3 linked regions of the Caenorhabditis elegans genome follow. The protein of the gene in region 1 purifies or fractionates together with the protein of each later gene. This does not show direct contact. Each region holds a gene or a part of one and is shown in the gene's direction. Other genes may lie near its edges.

Evidence for each region.
Region 2: the proteins of vha-14 (region 1) and pcp-5 purify together in Caenorhabditis elegans (affinity purification with mass spectrometry, with the first as the bait; one large-scale study listed by BioGRID). This does not show direct contact.
Region 3: the proteins of vha-14 (region 1) and apg-1 fractionate together in Caenorhabditis elegans (co-fractionation; one large-scale study listed by BioGRID). This does not show direct contact.

Annotation. Positions count from the first base shown.
Region 1 is NC_003281.10:9,506,248-9,510,274, forward strand, and holds vha-14 (V-type proton ATPase subunit D), read left to right. Parts: upstream 1-1,852; 5' UTR 1,853-1,860; coding exon 1,861-1,907; intron 1,908-1,959; coding exon 1,960-2,077; intron 2,078-2,126; coding exon 2,127-2,274; intron 2,275-2,505; coding exon 2,506-2,861; intron 2,862-3,058; coding exon 3,059-3,163; 3' UTR 3,164-3,510; downstream 3,511-4,027. UniProt on the Caenorhabditis elegans protein: Subunit of the V1 complex of vacuolar(H+)-ATPase (V-ATPase), a multisubunit enzyme composed of a peripheral complex (V1) that hydrolyzes ATP and a membrane integral complex (V0) that translocates protons.
Region 2 is NC_003281.10:7,904,380-7,909,306, reverse strand, and holds pcp-5 (Prolyl carboxy peptidase like protein 5), read left to right. Parts: upstream 1-1,942; coding exon 1,943-2,133; intron 2,134-2,179; coding exon 2,180-2,359; intron 2,360-2,879; coding exon 2,880-2,976; intron 2,977-3,024; coding exon 3,025-3,128; intron 3,129-3,172; coding exon 3,173-3,242; intron 3,243-3,288; coding exon 3,289-3,462; intron 3,463-3,554; coding exon 3,555-3,937; intron 3,938-3,979; coding exon 3,980-4,304; 3' UTR 4,305-4,362; downstream 4,363-4,927.
Region 3 is NC_003279.8:14,404,245-14,409,073, forward strand, and holds the start of apg-1 (AP-1 complex subunit gamma), read left to right. Parts: upstream 1-1,783; 5' UTR 1,784-1,798; coding exon 1,799-1,860; intron 1,861-1,922; coding exon 1,923-2,127; intron 2,128-2,173; coding exon 2,174-2,298; intron 2,299-3,097; coding exon 3,098-3,794; intron 3,795-4,829. Other genes in the region: tcab-1 (WD_REPEATS_REGION domain-containing protein), read right to left, coding at 628-789, 838-994, 1,041-1,261, 1,310-1,405.

The DNA of each region.
Region 1 (4,027 bases):
GTGAATTTGAAAATACAAGGTAAAGAAATTTATATTTATTAGAGTTTCACATTTTTTACTTAAAAATTATAATTTTCAGACGAAAAATCCTACGAAATCCGAGAGCAGTGGTTGATCGAAGCAATTCAATTGGTACTTCTTTCGCTTCCAACTTCAAGACGTCGGAAACTTCACAAATTTGTTACATTCATTCAATCGATCGAAACGAATGCAGTCTTCGACCTCGCTGATCCTTCTAATGGATCTTCCAACAATCGTGAAGCGGTAAGGAGGGGATCATTTTGCAAGAAAACTACTGTCTCGACTCGACAAATTTTTGTAAGATAAGAAAATGTATGAGTCTTTAAGGAGCACTGTAATTTCAAACTATCATTTCTGCCGAATTTTTATGGATTTTAATTAATTATTTGATAAAAATATATTTATCTATTAAAAAACTATAGAACTAAAAAATTAACACCTATATTTCAACACTGAAAATTCTGCAGAAATCTTCATTCGTTTCATTCGACAAAAATTTTTCGCCTCGAGACCGGTACCGTACTTTTGTCGCTATATTTCGTGTCTGTGTAATATCAATTTTTAAATTTTCGATTTCAGGCAATCATCGGACTCTGGACAGGTGTTTGTAGTAAATGCCGAAAGCAACAAGGAATGCTGATTACCGCTGTCCTCCTCGCAAACGTTCAATCTCTTTTTGCTGTTCCTGTTGAATTTATTGAACGGGTCAAACGATTGGAATGTGAAGAAAAGAACACCAGAAGTCGACGTGATTGGCAGCCACCATGTGAGAAATCGAAGAAAGGATTGCTCACACGATTGTTGCGTAAATAGATCTTACAATCTTCGCCCTATAGCATGTATATTATTTATTATATTTTTATTTTGCTCCCTTCCCCCCCCCCCCCCCCCCACTCACCTAATTCTTGTGTCATTATAATTTTCTAAAGTTTTGTGAAATAAATTTTGACGATGATTTATCAATATTTGTTTATTTTCTTCTATGCTTTCTTCTTGGTTAATTCTCCAATCTACTTTTCTTAAAATTCAATCTGTCAGCTTATTTCGGGACATTGAAAATTACGGTACCCGGTCTCGACACGACTATGTTTTGTTGAATACAAACGGATGTGTGCTTTTAAGGATTACTGTAATTTCTTACTTTCTTTTATGCGGAATTTTTTATCGAATTTTCATGGTTTTCGTTAACAAAATATATTTATTTATCAACAAACTGAAATAAAACAACTAAAACACTCAAATTTTGACAAATTGTGAGAAAAACTGAAAAACCCGAATGTAAATTCCACAGCAGCGAAAGTTTAAAAATGCATTACTCTTGCACACCAGTTTGTAATTTACGAAAAATAATTGTCGTGTCGAGACCGGCTACCGTATTTTTTTACGAAAAATTTCGTGTCTAGGTAATATTTATTAACAAACAAGTCATTAATGCTAAAAGAAGTGGAGGGACCGGCTTTTAAATTGCGAATAGTACATTTATTTTAAAATTAGATTTCAAAAAGTTTTGAAGCTGAAATTTTAAAAAAATCGAAGATTAATTTTTAAATTGATTATCCAACCCCTTTAACCTTTTACTGAAAATGATATTTTCTATTGGGATAAAGTTTTATTCCAACAATTCCCAATGAAACATCAAAGATATGCCTTCTTCTCTCTTCTCTCTTATATTTCCACCTCATGACAAGACTTGCAAACTCGCTCTATTGAAAATGCCGTCGATCAATCGGCAGTCATTGGTCTTTTGTGTATTTCTTGCGAACAACCGATTTCGCTCATTTTTGCCATATTTTAATGTTTTTTTCATAGAAATAACAAACTTTTTTTCCAGGTCGAACCATGTCCGGGGGAGGAAAAGACAGAATCGCGGTTTTCCCGTCTAGAATGTGAGTTTTATAGAAGAAAAACTTGATGGAAATCTAAAAAATAACTATTCAGGGCGCAAACCCTGATGAAAACCCGTCTGAAGGGTGCTCAAAAGGGTCATTCTCTGCTGAAGAAGAAGGCCGATGCGTTGAATCTTCGTTTCCGTGACATTTTGAGAAAGATTGTTGAGGTTTGTTTGAAAATTCTGAGGTGAAACGCTAAAAATCAAATGTTTTCAGAACAAAGTCCTCATGGGAGAGGTTATGAAAGAGGCTGCATTCTCTTTGGCTGAAGCCAAGTTCACTGCTGGAGATTTCTCTCACACTGTCATTCAAAACGTTTCTCAAGCTCAATATCGTGTTCGCATGAAGAAAGAGAACGTTGTCGGTGAGTCATTCGAGAATTTTTATTTTTTCGCGCGATTATATTTTCACTTTTTTCCACATTTTAAGAATAAACTATGAGTTTCTTTTGGCGTTATCGAGTTTACTTCTCAAAAAACGATAGAATTAGAACGAATTAACTTAAAAGTGCGAAAAAACTAAAAGTCGTGCTGCTGAATTGCGAGCTGTAAGAGTTCAAATAATTTGATTTTGTCGGAAATTTAACCGTTTTCAGGAGTTTTCCTTCCGGTATTCGACGCCTACCAAGACGGACCAGATGCATACGATCTTACTGGTCTCGGAAAGGGAGGAGCCAACATTGCTCGCCTGAAGAAGAACTACAACAAGGCCATCGAATTGCTCGTCGAGCTCGCCACTCTTCAAACATGCTTCATCACTTTGGATGAAGCCATCAAGGTTACCAACAGGCGTGTCAATGCTATCGAGCACGTTATCATCCCACGTATCGAGAACACTCTGACATACATTGTGACTGAGTTGGACGAAATGGAAAGAGAGGAGTTCTTCAGAATGAAGAAGATTCAGGCTAACAAAAAGAAACTGAAGGAACAAGAAGCTGCTCAAAAAGCAGTGAGTATCGACTTTTCATTTCTGGGTTTCTCACCTCACACGATATTGAATAATATTATCAGAAAAAAGTCGAAAAGTTTTTACAACGGTTTTTCATTTTTCCAAATAGAACCGTCATGAAAGAATTGAAAAATGCTGTCACTACAGTGTACCCATAAGAGACGACTTAAAACTAAAAAAGATAAATAAAATTTCAGTTGGAAGGACCAGGACCAGGAGAGGACGCAGCACATTCTGAAAATAATCCACCGCGAAATTTGCTTGCATCGGAAGAAGATAACTTGCCAGTCCTTTTCAATTAACCATTTGATTTTCTGATTGCCTCACAATGATTTCTGCTGTAATTTTAATTTTTTCGGATTACGGTAGGAACTCATTTGACCACTAGTCTCTTATCATTATTTGTAATCAGATCCCCCTTCCTTCCCCTCATCCAACACCCTCCGATGTTCTTCCTGTTTTCTATGTGGTTTCTTCTCGTATAGATTGACAAACATTCCATTAATTTTCCCGTATGCAAGAACAATCGATTCTGTGAATATGTACTCCAACCATTTTCTTTTAAAACTTAAAAATTCCTAACATTTTCCTGCTTCCATTTTCCATTTAGACTCGTGATGTTATCGTAGTAAAGGTTTGTAAATGAAATCTTCAGTAAATAAGAATTTCCACCGCGGTAAGTTGTTTCCTAATTATTTATTTGTTCAGAAAAAGAGCCGTTATTGAATTATGTCGTCGTCGACTGAAAGTGACACTGTGAGCAAGAGAAGAGCCATTTATAATTGCGTTTTTGGAAAGTGGTTTGAGTGGTGTCGTGTGGTCTAAAATATTGAAGATACGAAAATTAAAGTGTGAGAGACGGAGAGGCTCGTTATTCGTGTGAAGAGCCCTTCTATTCACAATTTGTTCGGCAGAACATTTTCCTTGCCTATTCTCTAAATTTCGATATGGGTTTCTATGTAATGTCATCTTCTTGAAATTCTGAATTTGTATTAGTGCACTTAGATATGGGGCGGATTCTTAATTAAGATTAATTAAATACCACTTAAAAAATTTTCAATTTTTTAATTTTCAAAAAGTTTCATAAATTTCTTAATTTATTTTTTTATAATCCATTAATCCTCTTCACTCACTCTGTTTGTGCTCTTCTTCTACTCATTCTCATC
Region 2 (4,927 bases), 1.6 Mb from region 1:
ATCTCCTGAATTAAGTGACTCTTTTGTTGAGGGACAAAAAGTTTGAAGAGCAAATATTCAATGGAAAATATTCAACAATAGGTTGGAAATTTCCAAAACAATTACATGTACTTTCCATAAGACTGTCCATAAGTGTAACAAGCTGTGTGGCAAACGTCAAGTAAATTTTTTTGCCAACTTTGGAAATAGCTGATAGAAATTTCAAAAATTTTGTTCTGAGAAACGCATTCAAAAAGCCTGAGAGATACAAACATCAAAAGCACACCAAAATATAAGTGCAGCAAAAAATATGTTCAAAGGTGCCAAAACTTTAGAAACCTGGCTGCCGAATAGTTGCCTAATTTCAGGCTAAAGCCAATTAGCGGTTGCCAACAATAATTTCTGGAACTGTACTTGGACACAGCCAGAACCAAACCTGTCAAAGTTTTCCCAAGTTTGCCAACTTCTGGTTCAAGTTAACTTTTTTCCAAACTATGGTTAGATGCTAGCCCAAATGTCAAGCATTTAAAAAAACTTAAAAACTTAAAACATTATTTTTCCAATATTATAAAACAAACCTTTGTAATATAAATAACCATAACAAGCCAAGAAAACAACAAAATCCATCCAAGATAGCAAATTTCTTTATCTCTGCGCTGACAAACTGCCTCAGAAGCACATTCCATAATTTGCTTTATCCTGAAAAAATACTTATTTCCAGCAAAAAAACCACTACTGGAAAAATGGAAACTGTGATGGATTGAGTGGTTTTCTTACACATCATTTTTCCATGCATAAAAACTGCATTTTCCAAGTATTCCTATTAATATACATTCAGAGAATGTGAGTTCCGTTGTGGTAAAAACTTTATCTATAGAACCTTATGTATTTTAATAAGAGAACACGGGAAAAGCCAGTTTTAGAAAACTAGTCGAATTGATTGTGTCTACAATGAAAATAATTGGGAAAATATTTTTAAATTGCAGATATTTGAATTTGCAACAAAAAACGATTCACTATAATCGTCATGGCTGAAAAAATCATAAACAAAAGCGAGAAAAATAGAAGGGAAACCACACCGGAAATGGGCCATCTAGATGAAAAACGAGCGGCACTAAGAGCATAGACAAAAATAATATGAATTTTTTAGTTTTTGAACCTACATAGGTAATGAAAAGTATATGGAGATCTTAATAGTGCCATAAATGAAAATATACAGTATTTTCTCTAATAGTGCTGTACCTCATCGATTTAACTTAATGGATCATATCTCGACTGTCTTAGCTTTAAGGAATATTTTTTACGAATATTAAAATTAGAGAAGATCATAAAAATTCAACAAACCAGTGTATGCGCATGACGAATTCGTGGAAAATTCCATATGAAAAAATATCATCCTTGTTGTTCTGATATTCACTCACCATCTCCTTTCCGCGAGGAGTCTGTAAACCTTCTCAAAATAAGAATTCGCGAGCGTCCACGGTATGTCAAAGAATCCAGTTCAAGAAGGTTTTTCAGGTTATCATTGCCTTTTTTTCACGAAACGAAAGCCATCAAAGCTGTGGATTTCAAGATCAAGACTCAACATAAAAATTAATTCCCATGGCTTATTATTTCATTCAAAAAATCTTGTATTTTATGTTTATCTCTTATTTACTATCAAATTAATACATAAAGATACGTTTTCGAGTTGTTGAAGATCATTTCAATAAAAAGAAGTGACCAGTGTCAGGTGTTGGGCTCTGGGAAAACCAATTAATAAAGGGTCATCGAGCAACTGTCACTTTATCGATCGATTTCATTCGTTTAATCCTCTATATTGTATAGAAAAACACAAGGTTTGTTAGTTGGTTTCACATTTTATTTGAAAAATTGCAGATTTTTACGTTTTCTTTGAAATTTCCAGCAGGAATAAATAACTCTCGTTTATTATCATTACAACTTTTTAAATTAAATTTTCCAGATGAACATTTTCATCTCCTTGGCAATTTTAATTGCCACAACGCATTGTCTCACTTTACTACGAGATCCTGTCACTCAAAATGGTGCTTCAAAATTTGAAAAAAGTATTGGAAAATACAAATATGAAGAAGGATATCTCAAAGCTCCAATTGATCCTTTCGCATTCACCAATGATCTTGAATTTGATTTACGGTAAGTTGCCGCTACTTATCAATTATTTGGCTCTATTCAATTGCAGATATTTCTTGAATATCGATCATTACGAGACTGGTGGTCCAATACTCTTTTACACTGGTAACGAGGGAAGTCTTGAGGCATTTGCCGAAAACACAGGATTCATGTGGGATCTTGCACCAGAGCTCAAGGCTGCTGTTGTTTTTGTTGAGCACCGATTCTACGGAAAATCTCAACCTTTCAAGTAAGTTAGATTTTGAAAAAAGTTGTTGAGTAATCAAAGCTGAGTAATGAAACTAACCAATAAAATCTGTGAAAAGTAAAGTGTTTCACTATTTCAAGATACCGCTTAATAATAAAAGCGCCGTACCAAATAAGAAAATTCTTGACCAAGTGTGGCCAAAAATATTTACTTGAAGCAGAAGTTGATATAACTTGGGCCAGTCTTGGAAAGCCTTGGTCTTTGGAGCATCCTAAATTATTTCTTCCTTAAGTATTTAGCCCAAGTATTGCTAATGTCTGCTCAAAGTTAACACTTATTATTCGTCCATATTTGGGCAAATTCTGCCTTGCCTAATAAATATAGACAGATTCAAAAAATGTTTATTTTGAGAATGGCGAGGCTCTGATAGAAACCTCCTTTTTGTTCTAAATTTCACAGCCATCGATGAAAATGGCTTGGTACATTAGGCAAATAACATTTGTAAGGTGTAAGGTGATGTTAGGGTGCCTACATGAAAGCCCTATATTGTTTGAATATTCAGAAACGAAAGCTACACAGACATTCGTCATCTTGGTTATCTTTCATCCCAACAGGCTCTGGCTGATTTTGCCCTTTCTGTGCAATTCTTCAAAAATGAGGTAATCTATAGCCCAATTTTATTTAATTTTAACTTCTTGCTATTACAGAAAATCAAAGGAGCTCAAAAGTCGGCAGTTATTGCATTTGGAGGATCATACGGTGGAATGTTGTCAGCTTGGTTTAGAATCAAGTATCCCCATATAGTTGATGGGTTTGTAAAATTTAATTATGTTATTTTAAAGATCATTTGTTCAGAGCAATTGCCGCGTCAGCTCCAGTATTTTGGTTCACAGACTCCAATATTCCAGAAGATGTTTATGATTTTGTAAGTTTCAATTTCTAAAATAATTCCAATTAAAACCAGCATTTAGATTGTCACTCGGGCTTTTCTTGATGCTGGATGCAACAGAAAAGCTATTGAAAAAGGATGGATTGCATTGGATGAATTGGCAAAAAGTGACAGTGGAAGACAGTATTTGAATGTTCTGTATAAATTAGATCCTAAGTCAAAGTTGGAAAATAAAGATGATATAGGATTTTTGAAGGTGAGAGTTGATAAGTTTAATGGACAATTTTTTTGAATTCGGAATGTCAAATAAATGAATTTTCCTTCTTGAGAAACTTATCACTTTTTCAGCAATACATAAGAGAATCGATGGAAGCAATGGCTATGGTAAACTATCCATATCCAACTTCTTTCCTGAGCTCTCTTCCTGCCTGGCCAGTCAAGGAAGCCTGCAAATCTGCAAGTCAACCAGGAAAAACACAAGAAGAATCTGCAGAACAACTGTACAAAATTGTCAACCTGTACTACAATTACACAGGAGACAAGTCAACGCATTGTGCAAATGCAGCGAAATGTGATAGTGCATATGGATCATTAGGTGATCCATTGGGATGGCCATTTCAAACATGTACGGAAATGGTTATGCCACTGTGTGGAAGTGGATATCCAAATGATTTCTTCTGGAAGGATTGTCCATTTACATCAGAGAAATATGCAGAGTTCTGCATGCAAACGTAAGTAAATATAACGTTATTCATTCGAAATTTTAATTTAAGGTTCTCCTCGATCCATTACAACAAAACTCTTCTTCGCCCATTAGCCGGTGGCCTTGCATTTGGAGCAACTTCTCTTCCATCTGCATCCAATATTGTCTTCTCGAATGGTTACCTGGATCCATGGAGTGGTGGTGGCTACGATCATTCCGATAAGGTACAGGGATCAGTGATTAGTGTAATTCTGAAACAAGGAGCTCATCATTATGATTTACGTGGAGCTCATCCACAGGATACCGAAGAAGTTAAAAAGGTTCGAGCCATGGAGACGCAGGCAATCAAGAAATGGATCAAGGAGAAGGCGAGAAATTCTTGGAGATATGATTAAATTTGATTCTACACGATTTTCTGTAATTTGTTTTTTATTAAATAAATGATTAATTCAATGTGAGATGTCATCTTTTAATGTCGTAGTAAGTATGGGTGCATAAGCTTTGGCAAGTTTATGTACCCATACTTACTATGGCATTAAAACGAAGAACATGTCTTGAAATGTGAAAAAAATAAGCCGGAAAAGGCTTCAAAATTTTGCTAATTTTTAGTTTTCCCCGGACACATTACTTATGGAAATTCGACAAAATGGCCCATTTCGGATTTTTTTCCAACAGAAAAAATATTTTTCGATGTGTCGGACTTTTATCAGCAACTGCAATTTTCATGCATACTTTGAGTATCTCTTTTCACAATGTTAAATTAAAATTGAAATTATTTTCGGATAAATAAATTATGACACTAAACTTTGAAAAAAAAATTGGACAAACATTCCACAAAATAATTTCTCATTTGTATAATTTTTCCAATTTTTGGCGTCTATGGAACTCAAAATAATCTTGAAACTCTGTTTGTATCTTGAATTTAAATTGTCAAATTTATACAGAAAATGCACAAAAATGTAATGAAAACAATTGAGCATGTCATCAAAAGTCGCTACAAAATAATGTTTTGTGGTCG
Region 3 (4,829 bases), on another chromosome or scaffold:
TAGTCTAACTTTTATTGATTGTTTTTTATATAAATTTTAAGGGAAATTTTTTTAAAATGTTAAATTCTGAAACTTATCAAATTTGCAGAAAAACGACTATACTACAAACTACAAAATGGTTGAGGCTCAAAAAGTTGTAGTTTGTAGTCTCGAAATGAATTAATAGGCGAAGATTTTAATTTTTCGTGGTTTTTCGAGTTTTTGGCACAAATTTGATTAAAAAGCAGCTTTAATTTGAAAAAAAGTGAAACATTTCTTTTAGAGACTACAAACTACAACTTTTTCAGCCTCACCCAATATTGGTTGAGGCTCAGAAAATTGTAGTTTGTAGTCTGAGCCTCAATCAATGCATTTTTGTTTAAAAAATTAGCAATTTTCAGTTATTTTTAGAGGTTTTTGGCACAAATTTGATTAAAAAACAGATTTTAATTGAAAAAAAAGTGAAAAATTACTTTTAAAGACTACAAACTACAACTATTTTTAGCCTCACCCAATATTGGTTGGGGCTCAGAAAATTGTAGTTTGTAGTCTCTGAGCCTCAACCAATTTTTTTTGGATTTTTATGTAAAAATGTCAATTTTTAAGCATTTTTTTTTCGTTTTTTTTTTTGCAAAAAAAAAAACCAACCCCAGCATCTTTTCCATTATAAGCACCGAGAATACTTCCATTTTCCGTATCAAATAGCTGAATTGGACGCAGTTTTGACGACGAGAACACCCCTTTTCCAGAGTTTTCCCAACAAGAATCCAGCACCAAATTTCCCGTATTATGCTTCCATATCACTTCTGGCTGCAATTTTTAGCGTTATTTTACAGAAATTTTGGAAGAAAAACCGACAGTTTCATCTATTTTATACATTCTTATAAATCTATCCTGTGAAGCCACAAGAGCCCGGTTTCCCTGTTCATTTTGAATGGAAAAGTGCACAAAATTATTATTTTCCGTTGATTTATAGCCGAATTGAGCGTTGTACGAGTTGAAAGTGGCTTTATCGCTGAAAATTTCAGATTTTTTGACTTAAAATTCGAATTTTCAGATACCAAAATGTATTTTTAAGATTTGTGGGGATTTCGGCGATTTCTACAGGTTCTTGAGCTTTTTTCTTGACTTCTTGGTCAATTTCCTGCATTCTCTGGAGTTTTCGCTTCTCTTTTCGATTTAATGGGCGGTTTTCTGGGATTTCTTCGGGAATTTCTTCTGAAGCAGCAGCCTCTGTGGTCGATAGCTCATCGATTTTCGACGCAAGATGGTCACTGCGGAGCTAAAAAGCAAGCGGTTTTTCTTTGGAAAACAAGTGAAATTTAATTACCGAAGACAAAAGCGACGCTATCCCGCATCTTTCAGCGCGGAGAGACGGTTTTTTCTCCTCCAATTCTTGTGAGGACGACGATTCTTCGGTGTTCATCTGGAAAAAATCGATTTTTTTGGCGAAAAGTTCAAGTTTCAGTGATTTTTAATCGAAAAATTGAAAAAAGAAAAAAAACAAAAATTAAATTCCCCCTACTACGGTCTGCAATCGGGTACCTCCACACCAGACCTCACGCGCAATTGCGGACTCGCCCCCTGCGTTGGATTGTAAAATGCAAAAAATCAATAAAATTGCAGTGTTGTCACTGATTTTTCAGCTTTTTCTAGTGGATTTTCGTGATTTTTTGATTAAAAAATTCATTTTTTCACTAATAAGCGTCGTTTATTTCACTTATTCCACTTACTTTCACTGCTGAGCTGTAAAAAAAACTAAAAAACTCCAAAAAAAACGTCAAAAAATGAGGAATTTTTGCAGGGTGAGGCTCCAAGGATGGCGACGGCTGTCGAGCTAGCCATTGAGAAGATCGATGAGTATAAGTCGAAGATTGGAAGGTTTGTAACATTAAAAAACTCAAATTTTTGCGAAATTTCCCCAGTAAATTCTATTTTTTCAGAACTCTCGGCACTCCGATGCGGCTTCGAGACCTAATTCGGCAGGTCAGAGCGGCACGAACGATGGCTGAAGAGCGAGCAGTGGTGGATAGAGAAAGTGCGAATATTCGAGAAAGCTTCCGAGACGATGATTCTCCGTGGAAATGTAGAAATATCGCGAAATTGCTCTATATTCATATGCTCGGCTACCCAGCGCATTTTGGACAGGTTATTGAACCGTTTTTCGCCGGAAATTAAATTATTTGTTATTCAGATGGAGTGCATGAAACTGGTGGCTCACCCCCGATTCACTGACAAACGAATTGGGTATCTTGGAGCTATGCTTCTTCTCGATGAACGATCGGAAGTTCATATGCTCGTCACTAATTCGCTTAAAAAGTTAGCAAAAACCCATGAAAATGAAAAAATCTTGTTTAAAAGCTTTTTTTCTGCGATTTTTCTCATCAAAATTTGATTTTTTGAAGAAAAAGCAATTTTTAAAGGATTTTCAATGCAAAAATGAGATTTTACAGTAAAAAATGCTATAGAAAACAAAAAAATCCGAAGAATTATTATTTTGGTTGAGGCGTAGACTACAAACTACAACTTTTTTAGCCTCAACCAGCAGCTTTGGGGAGGCTGACAAAAGTTGTAGTTTGTAGCCTAAGCCTCAACCAAGATTTTTAACTTGATTTTGCTCATTTTTAGTGATTTTTCATCAATTTTTACTATTTTTCGAGCTAAAATTAGTGAATTTGGTTCTAAAAACTGGAATTTTTGCTTTAAAATTCACGATTTTGCTAGAAATCCAAATATAAAACGATTTCTTCCAACTTTGGTGAGGCTGACAGAAAGTTGTAGTTTGTAGTCTTAGCCTCAACTAATATTTTGCTCATTTTCAATGTTTTTCATCGAATTTTCACTATTTTTCGACGAAATAATAGAGAAATTGGTTGTAAAATCCGGAAATTGAGCAAAAAAGGTGAAAATTTTGCTAAAAATCCAAATTTTAAACGATTTGTTTTCCAATTTGGTGAGGCTGACAGAAGTTGTAGTTTGTAGCCTGAGCCTCAACTAATATTTTGCTCATTTTCAATGTTTTTCATCGAATTTTCACTATTTTTCGATACAATAAAAGCAAAAAATCCCAATTTCCGCGGAAAACTCTATTTTTTAAAACTAAATTCTTCATTTCCAGCGACCTCACCTGTTCCACCCAATTCGTCAGCGGACTAGCTCTCTGCACTCTGGGCTCAATTTGCTCAGCGGAAATGTGTCGAGACCTGGCCAACGAGGTTGAGAAGATCATCAAGCAGAACAATGCGTATTTAAAGAAAAAAGCGGCGCTCTGTGCGTTCCGTATCGTTCGAAAAGTGCCGGAGCTGATGGAAGTCTTCATTCCATGTACCCGATCGCTTCTGGGAGAGAAAAATCACGGAGTTTTGATGGGCGCAACGACTTTGGTCACAGAAATGTGCGAGAAATCTCCGGATGTCTTGAATCATTTTAAGAAATTGGTGCCGAATTTGGTACGGATTCTAAAGAATCTTCTAATGAGTGGATATTCGCCGGAACACGACGTCACCGGCATCTCTGACCCGTTCCTTCAGGTCAAAATTCTGAGATTATTGAGAGTTTTGGGGAAGGATGACGTACGTGTCACTGAAGAGATGAATGATATTCTGGCGCAAGTGGCAACGAATACGGAAACGGCGAAAAATGTCGGAAACGCGATTCTCTATGAGACTGTACTCACGATTATGGAGATTAAGAGCGAGAGTGGCCTGCGCATTTTGGCTGTGAACATTCTTGGACGATTCCTTTTGAATACGGATAAGAATATTCGATATGTGGCGTTGAATACGCTTCTGAAGACTGTTCATGTTGATTATCAGGTTGGATTTTGTGGAAAAAAAAAAAAGGAAAAAATGGCGATTTTGGCTCAAAAATTGAGGTTTTGGCGGTGGGTTGAGGCTGAAAAAGTGTGTAGTTTGTAGTGTGAGAGCCTCAACTAAATTTATTTCATTTTATTTCTGTTGTTAATTTTAATAGAATTTTTTAAAAAATTATTCTGATGAGTTTTCAAAATGAAAATCGCATGTTTTAGTAAAAATTGTCGAGAAAAACAAGTTTTTCAACGAATTTTCGAATTTTGTAGCTTGGTTGAGGCTCACACACTACAAACTACACTTTTTCTAGCCTCAACCAAATTTGGGGAGGCTGTGGAGTTGTAGTTTGTATTGTGAGCCTCACTCAATTTCAGTTCATTTTTTGTTTATTTTAACAGAATTTTGAAAATTCAGTTTTCAACATGAAAATCGCCTAAAACTTGTCCGGAAAACCAAGTTTTTTGACAAATTTGCAGCTTGGTTGAGGCTCACGCACTACAAACTACACTTTTTCTAGCCTCAACCAGATTTGATGAGGCTGTGGAGTTGTAGTTTGTAGTGTGAGCCTCAACCAAATTTATTTTTAGTTTTCTATTCCGTTTTCGACGTGAAACTTAGCTTTTTAGTAAAATTTTGCCTAAAAAATCAGTTTTTCAATAAATTATTCCATTTTGCAGCTCAAACTGTGTAAATAATAATTGGTTGAGGCTTACACTACAAACTACACTTTTTCTAGCCTCAACCAAGTTTTTAGAGGCTGTGGAGTTGTAGTTTGTAGTGGGAGCCTCATTCAATTTCATTTTTTTCCGTTTTGAACGTGAAACTTAGCTTTTTTAGTACAATTTTCCCCCCAAAAAAACCCAGTTTTTCATAAAATTTCATATTTTGCAGGCCAAACTGTCCAAGTGATAATTGGTTGAGGCTCACGCACTGCAAACTACACTTTTTCTAGCCTCAACCAAGTTTGGGGAGGCTGAAGAAATGTGTAGTTTGTAGTGTGAGCCTCAACCAATTTCAGTTCATTTTCTGTTTATTTTATTA